Caenorhabditis elegans: one gene and its partner. The protein of the gene in region 1 purifies or fractionates together with the protein of each later gene. This does not show direct contact. Each region holds a gene or a part of one and is shown on either strand. Other genes may lie near its edges.

Region 1 (7,922 bases):
TTCTCTACAACAATATCATTGAACACATGATCGAACAACTTTGTTTTGAGAGCATACTGATTTCCTTTGCTGTACAAATACTCTTCCGATGGCAAATTGTATCCGATGACATACGACGTCTTCCATCCTCCAAAGAGTGGGAATCGTGGACGAATCTCAACGTCAACGCTGTCAGCACGGATTCGTACAGCGGATGTAGAAATGTTTCCGATCTCATCACGATAATAGATATCTTTAGCTTGAGCAGGAAGAACTGTGGTAAACTGTTGGAGTGCTGGTTGGCGACGTCCACGACGGTCCATTTGGTAATCGATTCTTGAGAATGGACCATCAAGCTCAGCTCCCTTGTGAACCAATTCAATGTACTCCTCCACAGCGATGTTTCCCCAGTGAGAAACCTCGATGAATCTTTCCACGATGGTGGCAATAACGAATGGCGAGTTATTTTCATAATGAACTTTGACTGGTTTCGTCTCAAAAGCTGGGATATTAACATATGGTCCGTAGATGACACGTTCCGTTTCTTGTTTCGATGGAGAAACTGTGGTTGCGGATAGAAGCTTGCCTCCTTGAGTGGTTCTAATAGTTGTTTTTTGGGTCACAGTTTCGTACAGGGAAGGAACGTATGCAGATGTGTGAAGAACAACAAATTGACTGTCAGATTGCTGAATCTTGGATGGGAGTGGCTCAAGTACTTGTGTGATACGAAGATTGATTCTTATGGTAACTTTGGCTCCCTTGGCAACAGGAGTTCGGAGGTCTACTTCGTAAACTGCAAGATCCTTTTCGGCTGGTTTTTCAGAAATTTTCAATTTTCCTTTGCTTCCATCGATTCCAGCAGAAATGAAAGAAAGAGTAGCAGATTCTTCTTTAGACAAAGCAATCTGAAAAATAAAGTTGAAATATAGGAAATATAGTGAATTTTCAGGAAAAATATATCTACATACCAAAACTTTCGATTGAGGTCCATTTCCAACGTTCTCAAATGAATACAATGTCGAAACCTTGACAATTTGTGACGTGGCATCGATGGTTCGGTCAACATTAGCGGCTTTCCAAGCGTCTTCAGCGAAAACCGCCCCCAGGAGAGCGATGGCAAATAGCAATCGCATCTGGAAAAATTAGATATACAATCAAAAATGCAGAAAACCCAAAAATGTCATATTAAAACGTTTCAAGAATGAAATTCGACTGATCGAGCAAGACGACATCTATTTGGAATTTAATTAATCAGCTCGTGTTAAAAAATTATCTATTATTACAATCTCAGCACAGAGTAACTTTATTTTGTCACAAAATCATTTAGCAGCAAAAATTCGCATGTACAGACTAGAAAAATGATATTTTTGTTTGGTGAAATCAGCAAAATTCATTATAAGAGCAAATTTCAAGTGTATTATATTGATTTGATGCATAAATTCTGCGAAAATCTATCTTTAAATTACAATAATTTCAGCAAAAAAAAGAGAAAGACGTGGTAAACTCGTCCACGTATTTTGAATCGGAGCCATTCGTGGCGAGACCCACCAGCCGGCATGATGACTGCGCCTTTAAACAAAGTCTGTTCAAATTATCATTTTTTCCGCGAACCGGCGCGGATTTTCAGATTTTCTAATCCAATTGTCATCGTTTTGTTGTTTTTTTATTCTTTTATTCGGATTAGATGTATTTCACTCTTAGTTTCTATTCCTTTTTTCCAAACTCTGACTCTCAAAATAGTTATTTTTCGATGTTTTCATAAAGTTGAAAAATATTCACGTTTTCGAGGGAATTAGTATTTGAATACGCTGTTATAGTTTCTTCGTGACTTAACTGTTTTGTTAATTCTATAAAATTCATTTCGAAATCTCAGCTTCTCTTTCGAATACATATATTTTGAAGGATCGAAAAATGGTGGCGACTACTCAACAGACACCAAAAGAGGCGGACAAAAAGAAAGCCGACGATAAAAAAGTTCCCGAGAAAGCTGAGCCAAAAAAAGAAGAGATGGTTAGTTTAAAGAATAACTATTGTTTAAGCCGTAATGAGACTTATAGCTTATTTATTTCAGAGCGAAGAGGATCAAAAACTCGAGGAGGATCTCAATCTTCTTGTTCAGCGTTTATCTGAACCGGACACAACACTTTACAAGCCATCACTGGAGACTATGCGGACATTGATTCGTGCTTCAACCACATCGATGACCTCTGTTCCAAAACCTCTCAAGTTTATGCGTCCGCATTACAATAAAATGAAGGAGATTTTCACATCGATCGTGGCGCCTGACGTTAAGAAACTTTGCGCAGATATCATTTCAGTGCTCGCAATGACATCAGATGAGCGAACCGACACGATCAACTATCGTATTCTTGGATCACACGAGCCGATCGGGGATTGGGGACATGAATACGTTCGTCATTTGGCGATGGAAATGTCAGAGGAGTGGAAGAAGGAAGGCACTTCGGATGCGAGAAAAGCTGAACTCCTTAAGTTGACTCAGGATATTGTCAGCCATCACATGAAACACAACGCAGAAGTTGAAGCGTGCGATTTGCTCATCGAAATTGAGCGTATTGATTTGCTGATCTCTTATGTCCAAGAAGTTGATCACCAACGTGTGTGCCTTTATCTTCTTTCATGTGCCCCATTGACTCCAGACCCGGATAACATTATTCTTATTCGCACTGCTCTCCAACTCTATTTGAAATTCAACCGGTATCTTGAAGCTGTTAGATGTGCTATCATGGTCAACGATATTCCACAGGTTCATCAAATATTTGCGAAGGCATCTGACCCGTAAGTTAAATATAACGTCTCTTACTTTCCTAAAGAAAAGTTTTCAGATTGCTTCGAAAGCAAATGGCTATCTTGCTCGGTCGCCATCAGATTTTCCTTGACTACGAGGGATCTGCAGATTCGGATGCTCTTGCCGAACTGAATTCCAATGCTCATCTCTATGAATACTTCCACTCCTTGGCTCGTGAGCTCGACATTATGGAGCCTAAAACTCCAGAAGGAATTTACAAATCTCATTTGGAACATTCCCGGCCATTCGGAAACTCTGCTCAGCCAGACTCTACTCGCATGAATCTCGCCGCTGCGTTGGTGAATGGATTCGTGAACTGTGGATTCGGAGTTGATAAAATGATGGCTGAAACAGAGGAAGCCTCCAGATGGTTCTACAAGAACAAGGAATATGGAATGCTTACTGCAGCCGCCTCACAGGGTCTTATCTGGAGATGGGATATCGATACCGGCCTGGCACAATGCGACAGATTCTTGTATATCAATGACGATTATATCAAGGCTGGAACCCTTTTGGCTATTGGTATTATTTCCTCTGGAATTCAAGATGCTTGTGACCCTGCTTCCGCACTTCTCCTTGATCATGTTCAATCTGATCGGTCAATTATGAGAGTAGGATCAATTCTTGGACTTGGACTTGCCTACGCTAATTCCAAAAGAGAAACCGTTACAAAGAATGAGGAACGCGGTGTTATTTTCGAGCTCAAGAAAGTTCTTTCTGATCAAAAGCCATCGGCTATTCCTGAAGTTAAAGGACTTGCTGGACTTTCTCTTGGCCTCATTCTTGTTGGAACTGCTGATGCGGAAGCTGCGATGGAGATGCTTCAAGCTCTAATGGATAAAAGCGAAACTGAGCTCACAGATCCAAATATGCGTTTCCTTGCATTGGGAATTGCATTGATCTTCTTGCAAACTCAGGACAAGAGTGATGTGTTTGTCGAAAGTCTCCGTTCACTTCCTGATCCATTTGGAGCGATGGTAAGTATTATTTGTTCTAGATCACCTCGAGTTTTGGCTATTCCCTTGTTCATATCATAATGAATACAATTTCAGGTTTCTACGCTCGTTGAAGTTTGTGCATACGCAGGAACTGGAAATGTTTTGAAAATCCAGAAATTGCTCCATCTCTGCTCTGAACACTACGAGACGCCAGCAGCTGAGAAGAAAACTGCCGCTTCTCGTGGACCGCGTGGACCAGCCCCAGCTGCTGCTACACCTGCTCGTCCTGCTGCGCAACCTGGAAATGTCAACGTCGCTGGCACTCCAGCCCCAACTGGAACACCCGCCGTTGCCCCAGCTGCTCCGAGACGCGACCTTCCAGGAGCCGCAAGTGCTGCTACACCAGGAGCTCCAGAGACTGCTGCCGCCGACGCTACTCCAGCACCACCTGCCAAGCCAGACTTGTCATCGCAACAGGCGGTTGCTGTACTCGGAATTGGTCTGATTGCTATGGGAGATGACATCGGATCTCAGATGGCTCTTCGCATGTTCGGACATCTCATCAGATATGGAGAACCAGTTATCCGTCGTGCTGTTCCCTTGGCGTTGTCACTTCTCTCCGTCTCAAATCCTCAATTGAACATTTTGGAAACTCTGTCCAAGTTCTCTCACGATTCTGACGCTGATACCGCTCACAATGCTATTTTCGCGATGGGACTTGTTGGAGCAGGAACAAACAATGCTCGTCTTGTTGCTATGCTCCGAAACCTGGCTTCTTATCACTACAAGGATCAAGTTTCTCTAATGCTGGTCAGAATTGCACAAGGACTTACTCATCTCGGAAAAGGAACAATGACGTTGAACCCATGGCATTCTGATAGGCAATTATTGTCTCCAAGTGCTTTGGCTTCTCTCCTTTCAATTTGCTTCTCTTTCCTCGACGCCAATAACACGGTTAGTGCAAGATTGATATTTCTACCATAATTTATTTCAAATTTAGATTCTCAACAACCGTCAGCATTACTTGCTCTACACGTTGGTGCTCGCAATGCAACCAAGAATGCTTACCACACTGGTAGAAGACGAAATGAAGCCTGGAAGCTTGAAACAGGTATAATTTTTTTAAAAGTTTCAACTCTCCAATGTGATTTTACAGTTGAACGTTTCTGTTCGTGTTGGTCAAGCCGTTGACGTTGTTGCTCAAGCCGGAAAGCCAAAGACAATCACTGGATTCCAAACTCATACTACGCCAGTCTTGCTTGCCCATGGTGAACGTGCCGAGTTGGCGAACGATGAATGTATGCCATCCTAACATTTGATAATTAATTTTTAACTAAAATATTTCAGATCTCTCTGTGACTCCACATCTTGAAGGATTGGTTATTTTGAAGAAGAATCCAGATTATCAGCCGGTTGTTGTATCAACTAAGAAGTAACCAACAAATTTATGGATCTAATTTATTTTTCTCCCCCTTTTCTCCCATCTAAATTATCCGTTTTGACCCGTTTTATTGTGCACAATCCGATTGCATTCGCTCTCTGCCCGATTTCCCGTTTTTCTGTCAATTTTCCCTCTCCCTCATCATTTTTTCTTTGAAAAAAACGTGTACACTTTAAATTTGAGTGGGACGGTATTCGAGTAAATTATTACTTTCAATCTTATCATCCTGGGTTTTATATATGTATTAATATTTATTGATCACAGGAATTTGAAGATCTTCTAGGTATCCTTATCAAAGTATCGAATATATCAGAAAATCCGTCAAGGTGGCGATTGTTCGACATTAGATTTTCAGCATCGTTCGCATACATCTGGAAATAAAATTTAGAATGTTCAAATGTGAGTTTGGAAATTTTAGTTTTTCAGTTTTTAGAAAAGTTTAATGAATTATTACACTCACCTCAAAAGTAGCCTTTTTATCCATAAAAACATCTTTCATTTCATCAATTTCATTAATAATATCACTTGTCAAATATATAACAACAAGTGTCATAATTGCCATAAAACATAAAATTCCAATAGCAGCAAAATCAGCGATGAAACGAAATTTGTATAAAAATTCGGATGTATTCATAGTTTCGAAAAAACTATAAAGTTTCAAAATTTGATGTATTAAATGGAAAAGTAATAGAAAGAAGAAGCAAATGACCAATACAATTAGACAAAGAATTGAAAACTACAGAAAACAGGTGATAAAAGATAAGAAAAAGTGAAGAGATTTAGAGATATTTGTAGAGACTAACCAGTTTGACGAACTATAGAAGTGAATTGTGTAAACTTTTAGACTTTTTGTGATTCAAAAAAAAACAGTTTGAACATTTGAAATCACAGTATTATTTAAAGGTGCAGTGTTTAGCAAAAAATTATCGTAACGAGACCCGGTCACCATATTTCCGGCACAAAAATCTAACAAATAATGTTATAAGCCCATTTCATAGTTTTTAACATTTCCCACCAATCTAATCGTTTTGAAAACCCATTAATTTTTTTCAAAAATATTCTTGCAGGTTCAGTAAAACGAGATGAGCAGGAACAATCTTATTGTTTACATGAATCCGCCTGACATTTTACAAGAATACTGAAATTTGTGAAAATTGCACATAAGATATGGGACCAGGCGATTAAATACAATAGGGAATGATTATCTGACATGATTAAACTTTAGGATTACTTAAACAGGATTTATTGGTTCGTTATTGATGTTGAACGACCCTGATGATGACGTGCTGGATTGAGCATAGTAATCGTCAAATTTGTGGTCGATCAAACGTTGCCAACGAGTCCGAACCATCCCAAATTCCTCATCATCTTGGCGTTCGGTGTTCGTTTCTGAAAGCAGTGTTATTAACATAAACAACCATTTTATCTTATTAAAACATACTCTCACAAATTTCCTGCTCAAGAAAGCGAAGAGCGCAGACAAAGCCATTGATCACTCTGAAGGCAAGTTGCGAGTTCTTTTTGAATGATTGCAGATTCCATTTGTCTGTGCCAAGGATGTCCCGAAATTGAGCGATAGCGTTTTCGAACGGCAGGGATTGCACATTGTTATTGACAAGAAACTTTGTGATGGCATCGTAGAACATCCGCAGGTCGTCCAATTGAAGGATTCCTGTAGATTGCACATCAAGGACGCGGAACCAATACTCGATCGATTGATTCTCGTCAGTCCCAATCATCGCAAATATGAGCCACGTCACTTCTTTCGTATCGAGATAGTTTCCCGTTGAACGACGCACTAGGTTACTCGAGAAGATTCGGTCGACGATTATTGTTGGAATACCGGTTTCGTAGCAGTAAATGGCGATGGCATTCGAATCAAATATCTCATCCCATTTGCCAATATGATTGAGCTCGACTGCGCAGAGTTGTCCGGTGTGCCTACAATTTTAATAATTAAATGACTAATCTGAGATTATAGCCGATTACTTCATGTACCAATCCTCGCATGCATAACGCACGTAGTCATTTAGAAGATCTTTAGTCTTAACTTGAATCGTTCCCGTCCACGTTCGCCCAGCAGTCCAGAGTATACGCTCAGTGACCTGAAATGTTATCGATACACAAAATTAAATTAGAAAAATAGAAAATTACAATGATCGAATACATTTCAGCTTCCTCCTTTGAACAGTCCGTTTCAGTCAGTTTCCGCTCGAAAATAGCTGACTGCAATTCTTCGCGTGTGATCACTTCTGAATACGACCGCACTCTTTCGAAAATTGATGAGTTAACAAACTCCAAAGCAGTGTGCATTGAGCACGAAGATGTACTGCTTTCATTTTCGAGTTTCGTCGCTTCTCTGTAACAAAAAATCATGTTTAAATAAATCTGATGATTCAACAAACATGTGCGAATCATCGACTCCAGTGATTGCTTGAGACGTCAGATTTCCGCTGGAGTCATCCGAGCAAGAGGACCACGACTGATCGCGAATCGGAGCTCTCATTCTCGTGAGTTTTGGTGATGACGTGGCAAGCGGGGAAAACAGATGCTGAAAATTTCCAAGAATGAAAAGTATATTCTCCTGAGCTGATAAACATACCGTCGGGAACTTCACATCAATAACAGACTTCATCTGAATCTGCTGGCTCATTTTCACGTGGGATGAGCGTATTTGAACACTGAAAAGCAAATGCTTAAAATGTTATAATTGATTTGAGACAAAAATTCTGGATAAAAAAGTGAAAAAGATGTAATA
Region 2 (8,733 bases), on another chromosome or scaffold:
TTTTCACAAAAAGTGAAATTTTTCCGTGAAGAATCTATTTTTTTCAGTTTTAGTATGAAAAATTTGAAAAATTTCGTTGCTTTTCAATAAAAAACTAATTTTCAGACGTGGCCTAGAAAAATAACCGGAAAAGTTAGGCCACGCAGCATTTTTCTAGAAAATTGCAAATTTTTCGAGAAACGCGTTATGTCTTCACTTTTAATTTTGAAAAACGTGCTTAATTTGCTTTTTAATCAAATTTTTTCAAATTTTAAGACGTGGCCAAGAAAAACCAGCTGAAAAAATAGGCCACGAAATTTTTCTTCGAAAAGCTCCATTTTTCCGCGATTTCGCCGCTGGAAATTAACTTTCGGCCAACGTTTCTGTGAAAATTATTTTTTAAAACTCTAAATATCTGCCAAAAAACCACTGTGGCCTAAACAATTCCATTGATTTTTCCAGTATTCTTCTTACTTATCGTCACGTTTGCCGGATTTTCATTTTCCCGCCCCGACCACCATTCGAGGAACTGCAAAGTAAGTGCGCTCTAGCGAACAACGAAGCTGCAAACGCGCTCCATTGAGAATTTTGCTTAAATGGTGGAAATCTCGGGGGTTTCTGGAGATATATCGATTTTTATTCGATATTTCGCTGAAAAAAATTGAAAAATTTGAGAAAAATCATTCAAAACCCTAGTTTTTCGCCGATTTTTTCCGCATTTTTTCAAGAATTCGGAATATTTTTTGATTTCCAGGCTTACCGACGACCGGCTCTAAACGAAGTGCTCACGAGAATATGCCTACTTTGCCATGAAATGTTTTCAGTCGACCAGCCGAATCTAGCCGCCGAGTGCAGCTCGAATTGCTTCAGGAATCCGGCGTTTAACAAGTGTCTCAACTTTTTTAGGCCGAAATTTTCTCCTTTTCTGGGTTCCACGTGATAAATAAATTGGTTTTAATCGTTAAATTTGAATTTTAATTGACTAAAATTGGTTAAATCGAGAAAAAAAAAGAAAAGAACCACAGTGCGGAGTCGAACCCCGGTGTGTTGCGTGAAAGGCAAAAGAGTTACCAGCAAAGCCACAAAGCAATGTGAACGTAATTTTGAGAGGCGTATACATTGTAGCCATAAATGCTTATTATCTCGATAGCGTATAATATTAATAATTGAGAATTTTGATGTCATTTTCAGTTTAATCTACCAGTATTCTTCTGTAATTTCGCACATTTTGAAGAAATCCCTTGAAAACTTCGCATTTCTATTTAATTCAAAGATTTTAATAATTTTTCTTGAATGTAAAACAAGAAAAGTAATATTTCATTAATTTTTCAACAATTTAGATTGAAAACTCTCTTTAAAACCGCCTTTCTCACCAATTTTTGCTAATTTCAAAGCTTCTCATTCCTCCTTGGAGTACGGTCATCAATCCCCGCCCTTCCAAGTGCGCATTCGAGTCCGCAAACGTCAAACCCGACGCCATATTGCGTACAGGCCAAATTATTTATTTCGGCACCGCGTACTTCATTTTCAGCCATTTTTAGCGGTTTTTCCAGATTTTTTCGCTATTTTCGGTGCTTTTTTGATAAAAAATCGATTTTTTCGACCGGAAAAGCTATTTTTAGCTGGAAAAAATCCCGAAAAAACGCAGAAAACCCATTTAATTCTTAAAAAGTCTTTAAAAATCTTTAAAAATCTTTAAACAATTGCAAATCTCGATTTTCCTAATTTCAGCCATGCTATCAGTGTTGGGTAGATCCGGCTTGGGCGCCCGGCAGGCGGTTTCGGTCGTTGGAAGTCAGAATTTCAGCAGCGCGGTCACCTCCGCCGAAAATGCTCATCCGGAGCCACGTGTCAGCTCTCAGAGTGCTCAATTCAGAAAGGGAGCCGGTGGAAGGTACAGGAAAAGCCTAAGAATGATTTGAAACTGGAAAATGTGGAAAAAATCTAGGAAAAATTGAAAAAACATTGAAAAAAAATCAATTTTTTCCCAAAAAAAATCGTTAAAAATTCCAAATTTTTGCAGAGCCTCCTTCTCCGGCAATGTGGTGACCGTATTCGGTGCGTCAGGCTTCTTGGGACTTCCAGTTGTCAATAAATTCGCGAAAAATGGCTCACAAATCATTATTCCGTATCGCCAGGATCCGTATTACATGAGAGAGCACAAAGTGCTCGGCGAGCTCGGACAAGTCCTCTATTTTCCATTTGAGCTGATGGATGAGGAGAGCATTCGAAAGGTATTAAAATTCGTGGAAATTGAGAGAAAAATCGAGTTTTCTAGGTGAAAATCGAGAAAAATTGGATTTTTCTCTAGAAAATCCAGAAAAAATAGAGTTTTCTCAGTGAAAATCGAGAAAAAATGGGTTTTTCTTTAGAAAATTCAGAAAAAATAGAGTTTTCTCAGTGAAAATCGAGAAAAATTAGGTTTTTTCTCTAGAAAATTCCGAAAAAAAAAGAGTTTTCTAGGTGAAAATCGAGAAAAATTGGATTTTTCTCTAGAAAATCCAGAAAAAATCAATTTTTCAGGCTGTAAAGTACTCGAACGTCGTCATCAACTTGATCGGAACTCGTGTGCCGACTGGGTGAGGAAATTGCAGATTTTTGAGCGGAAAAATTCACAAAATATGCCGGAAATTCAAAAAATTCAAATTTCGCGCCGTTTTTGACCAAATAAATCACTCTTTTTCGCTGAAAATTCGAAAAAATGCCTGAAAAACCTTCAAAATGTGGAATTTAACCCTTTTTTCCTACTGAAAATTCAAAAAATAAATTTTTTTACACCAAATTATCATTCAAAATTCAAAAAAAAAGCTCTTTTTTTCCAGTTTTTTCATTGAAAAACTCAAAATTCCTCACTTTTTCCAACTGAAAATCAATTAAAAATTGAAAAATCCCCTTAAATTTTGAATTTGGCTCCACTTTTTGGCTAAAAATTTGAAAAATGTCCGAAAAATCTTCAAAATTTTGAGTTTCGCGCCGTTTTTTTCACTGAAAATTCAAAAAATATTTTTAAAAAATTCAAAAAAAACTAAATTGCTCAATTTTTCTCCAAAATTTTCGAGAAAACTGCCATTTTCTATTGAAAAATTCAAATTTCCCCACTTTTTCCTTCTAAAAATCCCAATTTTAAGCCATTTTTCCTTGCAGAAAGTACAATTACTATGACGTCAACGACACGGGAGCCCGCCGTTTGGCTCGAATTTGCAAAGAAATGGGTGTGGAGAAATTTGTGCATTTGTCGGCTCTCGGAGCAACTACACAACCACAAAAGGGACATTTTGTCGCAAAATCGCAATTTCTTCATTCAAAAGGACTCGGAGAAGTTGCTGTACGTGAAGAATTCCCAGAAGCAACAATTATTCGCCCATCTGTGATCTACGGTGAATTGGATGGATTTATTCAATATTATGTGTCAAGATGGCGAAAAACTCCATTGGATTATGTGTATTTGTACAAGAAGGGAGAAGAAACGTATAAAATGCCGATTTGGGTACGGAATTGGCCGATAATTCATGAAAAATGACCTAAAATACGTGAAAATTGGCCGAAAATGACTGAAAATGGCTGAAATTTGGCACAAAATTAAATATTTTAACGAAAAACTCACAAAAACCGAGATTTTTTGAAAATTTACGATTTTCACATTAAAAATTGTCAAAAAAATTTTATTTTCCGTTAATATTGATTAAAATTATAGAAAAATCCATTTTCAACCGAATTTTGAACGAAATTAATCAAAATTTCATAAAATACATTTTAAAAAAAGCTCAAAATACGTGAAATTCGCCAAAAATGCTGAACAATTACTTAAAATTCAAAAAAATTGAAGTAATTTGACCAAAAAACTGAATTTTAGTCAATAAAAATTCAAAAATGGCTGAAAATTGTTTGAATATTGAAAATTGGGCGAAAATTCATGAAAAATGACCTAAAATACGTGAAAATCGGCCAAAAATGACGAAAAAAAATTTTTTTTTAAAGTAGAAAATTTCATGAAAATCGAGAAAAATGGTGTAATTTGACCTAATAACTGAATTTTAAAAATAAAAAGTCGAAAATCCGTGAAAATCGGTCTAAATCTACGAAATTTCATGAAAATTCGCTTGAAATTGAGAAAAATGACTCAAAATTCATTACAATAAATCCAAATGAACTGAAAAATGTCAAAATTCATAAAAATTGGCCTAATACAAATAAAATGAGTCCAAATATTTATGAAAAGTCTCGAAATTTCATATAAAGTTGCTCAAAATACGTGAAATTCGCTAAAAATTGCTGGAATTTATTTAATTTGCTTAAAAATTAGAAAAAAATTTCAAAATTCAAGGAAATTGGCATAAGTCCGTCTAAAAATTGAATTTTAAATTTAAAAAGTCAAAAATTCCAACAAATCGGCCAAAAATTACTGAAAATTGTTCAAAATATGACCAATTTTTGTTTGAAAATCGGAAAAATTACTCAAAATTCGAGAAACGCTGTAATTTGCGAAATTTTATGAAAAAAAAGCCTTAAAACCATTTAAATTGGCCAAAAATGACTGAAAATGGCTGAAATTTGGCACAAAATTGAAAATTTTCGGAATTTCACCCAAAATTTCATAAAATTTGATAAAACTAGTCGAAAATTGGTAGAATTTCGGCAAAAATCGTATTTTCACACAGAAAATTGTCAAAAAATTGCTAAAAATGACAAATTTTGACTGAAAAACTTGAATTTTTGCTTAAATTTCATCAAAATGTAAAAATCGGTAAAATTCCAGAAAAATTCACCGAAATTTGCAAATTTTGGCTTAAAATTGTCCATTTTTGCCGAAAAAAAATTGATGGTAGGCGGCGGTAGGCATAAAGTAGGCACAATTTTTTTTTTGCGAAAAAATGCAAAAAATGTCCAAATTTCGCATATTTTGACTCAAAACCTCGGCCAAAAATGGTGTAATTTGACCTAATAACTGAATTTTAAAAATAAAAAGTCGAAAATCCGTGAAAATCGGTCTAAATCTACGAAATTTCATGAAAATTCGCTTGAAATTGAAAAAAATGACTCAAAATTCATTACAATAAATCCAAATGAACTGAAAAATGTCAAAATTCATAAAAATTGGCTTTTAATACAATTAAAATGAGTCCAAATATTTATGAAAAGTCTCGAAATTTCATATAAAGTTGCTCAAAATATGTGAAATTCGCTAAAAATTGATGGAATTTATTTAATTTGCTTAAAAATTAGAGAAAAAAAATTTCAAAATTCAAGGAAATGAGGCTTAAAGTTACCTATAAACGCTGGAATTTGCGAAATTTTATGAAAAAAAGCTTTAAAACCATTTAAATTGTCCAAAAATGACTGAAAATGGCTGAAATTTGGCACAAAACTGAAAATTTTCGGAATTTCACCCAAAATTTGATAAAACTAGTCGAAAATTGGTAGAATTTTGGCAAAAATCGTTTTCTCCTCAAAAATGTAACAAAATTTTCGATTTTCACACAGAAAATTGTCAAAAAATTGCTAAAAATGACAAATTTTGACTGAAAATCTCGAATTTTTGCTTAAATTCCATCAAAAATGATGATTTTTTCAGAAAAATTCACCGAAATTTGCAAATTTTGGCTTAAAATTGTCCATTTCTGCCGAAAAAAAATTGATGGTAGGCATAAGTAGGCACCATTTTATTGCGAAAAATGACCAAATTTTGGATATTTTGACTCAAAACCTTGAATTTTTGCCAAAATTCAATTCATTTTTCGCACAATTTCAGTAAAAATAACTCAAAATTTACCATTTTTTGCCGAATTTTCAACGAAATTGATCAAAATTTCGAGAAAATCGGCGAAAAATCACTAAAAAAATCTCGATTTTCTTGCAGGTTGCTTTTTTAGTTTTTAGTTTTAGTTTAAAAAAGAAAAATCGGCCAAAAATGAGTGAAAATTGTTCAAAATAGGCCCAATTTGTTTGAAAATTCAAAAAATTACTCGAAATACATACAATTCGGCCTAAAACTGCCTATAAACGGTGGAATTTGCGAAAATAAGCGAAATAAAAAAAAAAGCTTTAAAAACGTTTAAATTGGCCAAAAATGACAAAAAATGGCTGAAATTTGGTCCAAAATTGAAAATTTTGAAGAAAATTGACGATTTTTGACGAAAAACATACAAAAAATCGTTTAAAAATGTTATCAATTCCAATTTTCGGTAATTTCCCATATTCACTTGAAAAAAATTGTTGAAACATTGCTAAAAATGGCAAGTATATATATTGAATTTTTTGGTTAAATTCCATTAAAAAACGGTATTTTCGCGCGAAATTTCATTAAAAGGAGTGAAAATCCGTAAAATTTCAAAAAAAATTCACAGAAATTTGCAAATTTTGGCTCAAAATTTACCATTTTTTGCCGAGTTTTCAACGAAATTGATCAAAATTTCGAGAAAATTGGCGAAAAATTCCGATTTTCTTGCAGGTTGGAGACGTTGCCGCCGGAATTCAAAGTGCTGTAAATGATCCAACAGCAAAAGGACATACTTATGAATTTGTTGGACCACACTGCTATCAATTGTCTGAATTGATTGATTTCATGTACAAAAAAGCGCATTGTTTGTCTGATTTTGGATTCAGGTACCCGGTTTTTCGATTTTCCCGCCGAAAATTGGCCTAAAATGAAGGAAAATTGCTAATTTTTGGGCAAAAAAATCATGAAAATTGATAATTTTTAACGAGAAATTCATGAAAATTGGACTTAAAAATCGTGAAAACTGGGTCTCGCCACGAAAACTTTATTTTTTTCAAATTTAAAGGCACATGGGTTGTGCATCAATCAGGAAATTTTGAAAATTCGAATTCTCCTCAAAATTCTAGGCTTGTAGCTTTAATCGGGTCTCGCAACGAAAATTTCACGAGTACAGTAACCCGCGAGATATTATTCCGTGGCGAGACCTTAAAAAATCAAAAAAATCAATATTTTCACTGAAAATTGATGATTTTTAACGTGAACTTTATGAAAATTGGCTAAAAAATATAAATTTAGACGTAAAAATCGTGAAAACTACATTTTTTTTTGGGTCTCGCCACGAAAAAGTTGAAAAAAAAAAATTTCTTGAGTACAGTAACCCGCGAGGTATTGTTTCGTGGCGGCGGGACCCAGGCGTGAAATTTCGAGAAAAATCGCGAATTTTTCAATTATTTTCGTGGCGGGACCCGAGAAAAAGCTCAAATTTTTGCAGATACAAGCGTCACGGAATGCCGGATCCATATTTCATGGCTCTCACAATGGCCACCGAACTCTATGGTAAAGTGTTCAAGTGTAAAGTTCCACTCAACAGAGAATGGATGGAGTTTGTGGTAGGTTTTAGGGCTTAAAATGAGCAAAAACGCCTCAAATTTTAGATTTTTTTAATTAAAAATCGGTTTTCCGCCAAAAATCGGGCAATTTTTACGGAAAAATCCATTTTTTAAGTGAAAAACACTTAAAAAAAACTGATTTTTGAGTCAAAAAATTGGAAATTTCGGAAAGCCTACCTACGCCTGCCTTGTGCCTACCGTTGAATTGTTAAATCAGGTAGGCGTAGGCACAATTTTGAGGAATTTTTTTTGTAGAAGTGGCGGAAACAACCCGATTTTCATCAAAAAAATTCGAAAAAAATCGAAAATTTTTTCAAAATTATCGATTTTTAGTCGAAAAATGGATTTTATTGATTTTTTTTTTTGAAAAAAAAATTTAGCGAATAAAATCGATAATTTACGGAAATTATCGATTTTTTGTTGATTTTCAAAAAATCGATAAATTCCGATTTTCCGACAAAAATTCAAAATTTTCTGAAAATTATCGATTTTTTTTGCTATTTTTGTAATTTTCAGATAAAAATCGGAATTTTTTTAAAAGAAAAATCGAATATAAAATCTTAAAAAAATAAAAAAAATTTAATATTTTTAAAAATTACCGATTTTTTGTCGGAAAAGTGATTTTATCGATTTTTTGTTGAAAAATTTCCGCGGAATTTTTTTTGAAACAAAGATTTCTGAAAATTATTGATTTTTTTTTCTATTTTTCGCATTTTTCAATTGAAAATCGGAATTGTTGAAAAAAAATCGCATAGAAAAATTTCCACCGATAATTTTTGAAAATTATCGATTTTTGATTAAAAAATTCGCGAAAAAATCGATAATTTACGGAAATTATTGATTTTTTCTAATTTTGCATTTTCAGGAAGTACAATCGGACATTTTGACGGGCGAAAGAACTCTCGCCGACCTCGGAGTCCGCCGATTGACTGAATTCGAATTGGCTGGTGGACAACAAGCATTTTATCGATCATTTAATCGATATTTCGAAGAACAATATGGAGAACTTCCGGCTCCATCACTTCCACTTCGTTCACCACCACTTACCAAAAAGAACACTGGCCGAGGAGCAACTGGAATCAAGTCGGAAACGAGCAAAAATGTCGCTTTTAATTAAGATTTTTTTTAATCGATTGTTTTTTCGATTTCTGTGTTGTCTTTGGTAGTTTAAATAGAGCGATTTTAATTTTTTTTTGGTTCTAAATTTTTTTTCTAGAAAAAACTGAATTTTGTATTTATACGCGTAAATGAATCGAGAATTTTGATGGGAAAAATTGGTAGATTTGCAAAAATTCTGAAAAAAAATTATAAGAATCCTGAGAAATTATGAAAAATAAGAAAAAAGAGCACAAAAAATCAGTAAAATCAAATTTCCTTTAAAAAATCGATAATTTTCAAAAATTATCGATTTTTGTCCGAAAATGAACG

Evidence for each region.
Region 2: the proteins of rpn-1 (region 1) and nduf-9 fractionate together in Caenorhabditis elegans (co-fractionation; one large-scale study listed by BioGRID). This does not show direct contact.

The regions. Positions count from the first base shown.
Region 1 is NC_003282.8:6,903,873-6,911,794, reverse strand, and holds rpn-1 (26S proteasome non-ATPase regulatory subunit 2), read left to right. Parts: upstream 1-1,881; 5' UTR 1,882-1,890; coding exon 1,891-1,989; intron 1,990-2,050; coding exon 2,051-2,775; intron 2,776-2,822; coding exon 2,823-3,762; intron 3,763-3,837; coding exon 3,838-4,677; intron 4,678-4,723; coding exon 4,724-4,834; intron 4,835-4,879; coding exon 4,880-5,021; intron 5,022-5,070; coding exon 5,071-5,159; 3' UTR 5,160-5,375; downstream 5,376-7,922. Other genes in the region: ribo-1 (Dolichyl-diphosphooligosaccharide--protein glycosyltransferase subunit 1), read right to left, coding at 1-884, 948-1,112; T22D1.17 (Col_cuticle_N domain-containing protein), read right to left, coding at 5,416-5,535, 5,625-5,798; T22D1.5 (EF-hand domain-containing protein), read right to left, coding at 6,396-6,553, 6,606-7,105, 7,154-7,269, 7,319-7,523, 7,570-7,715, 7,767-7,817.
Region 2 is NC_003281.10:3,241,553-3,250,285, reverse strand, and holds nduf-9 (NADH dehydrogenase [ubiquinone] 1 alpha subcomplex subunit 9, mitochondrial), read left to right. Parts: upstream 1-1,710; 5' UTR 1,711-1,712; coding exon 1,713-1,873; intron 1,874-2,002; coding exon 2,003-2,213; intron 2,214-2,502; coding exon 2,503-2,558; intron 2,559-3,123; coding exon 3,124-3,466; intron 3,467-6,427; coding exon 6,428-6,582; intron 6,583-7,187; coding exon 7,188-7,305; intron 7,306-8,170; coding exon 8,171-8,422; 3' UTR 8,423-8,569; downstream 8,570-8,733. Other genes in the region: Y53G8AL.4 (Apple domain-containing protein), read left to right, coding at 442-515, 734-919.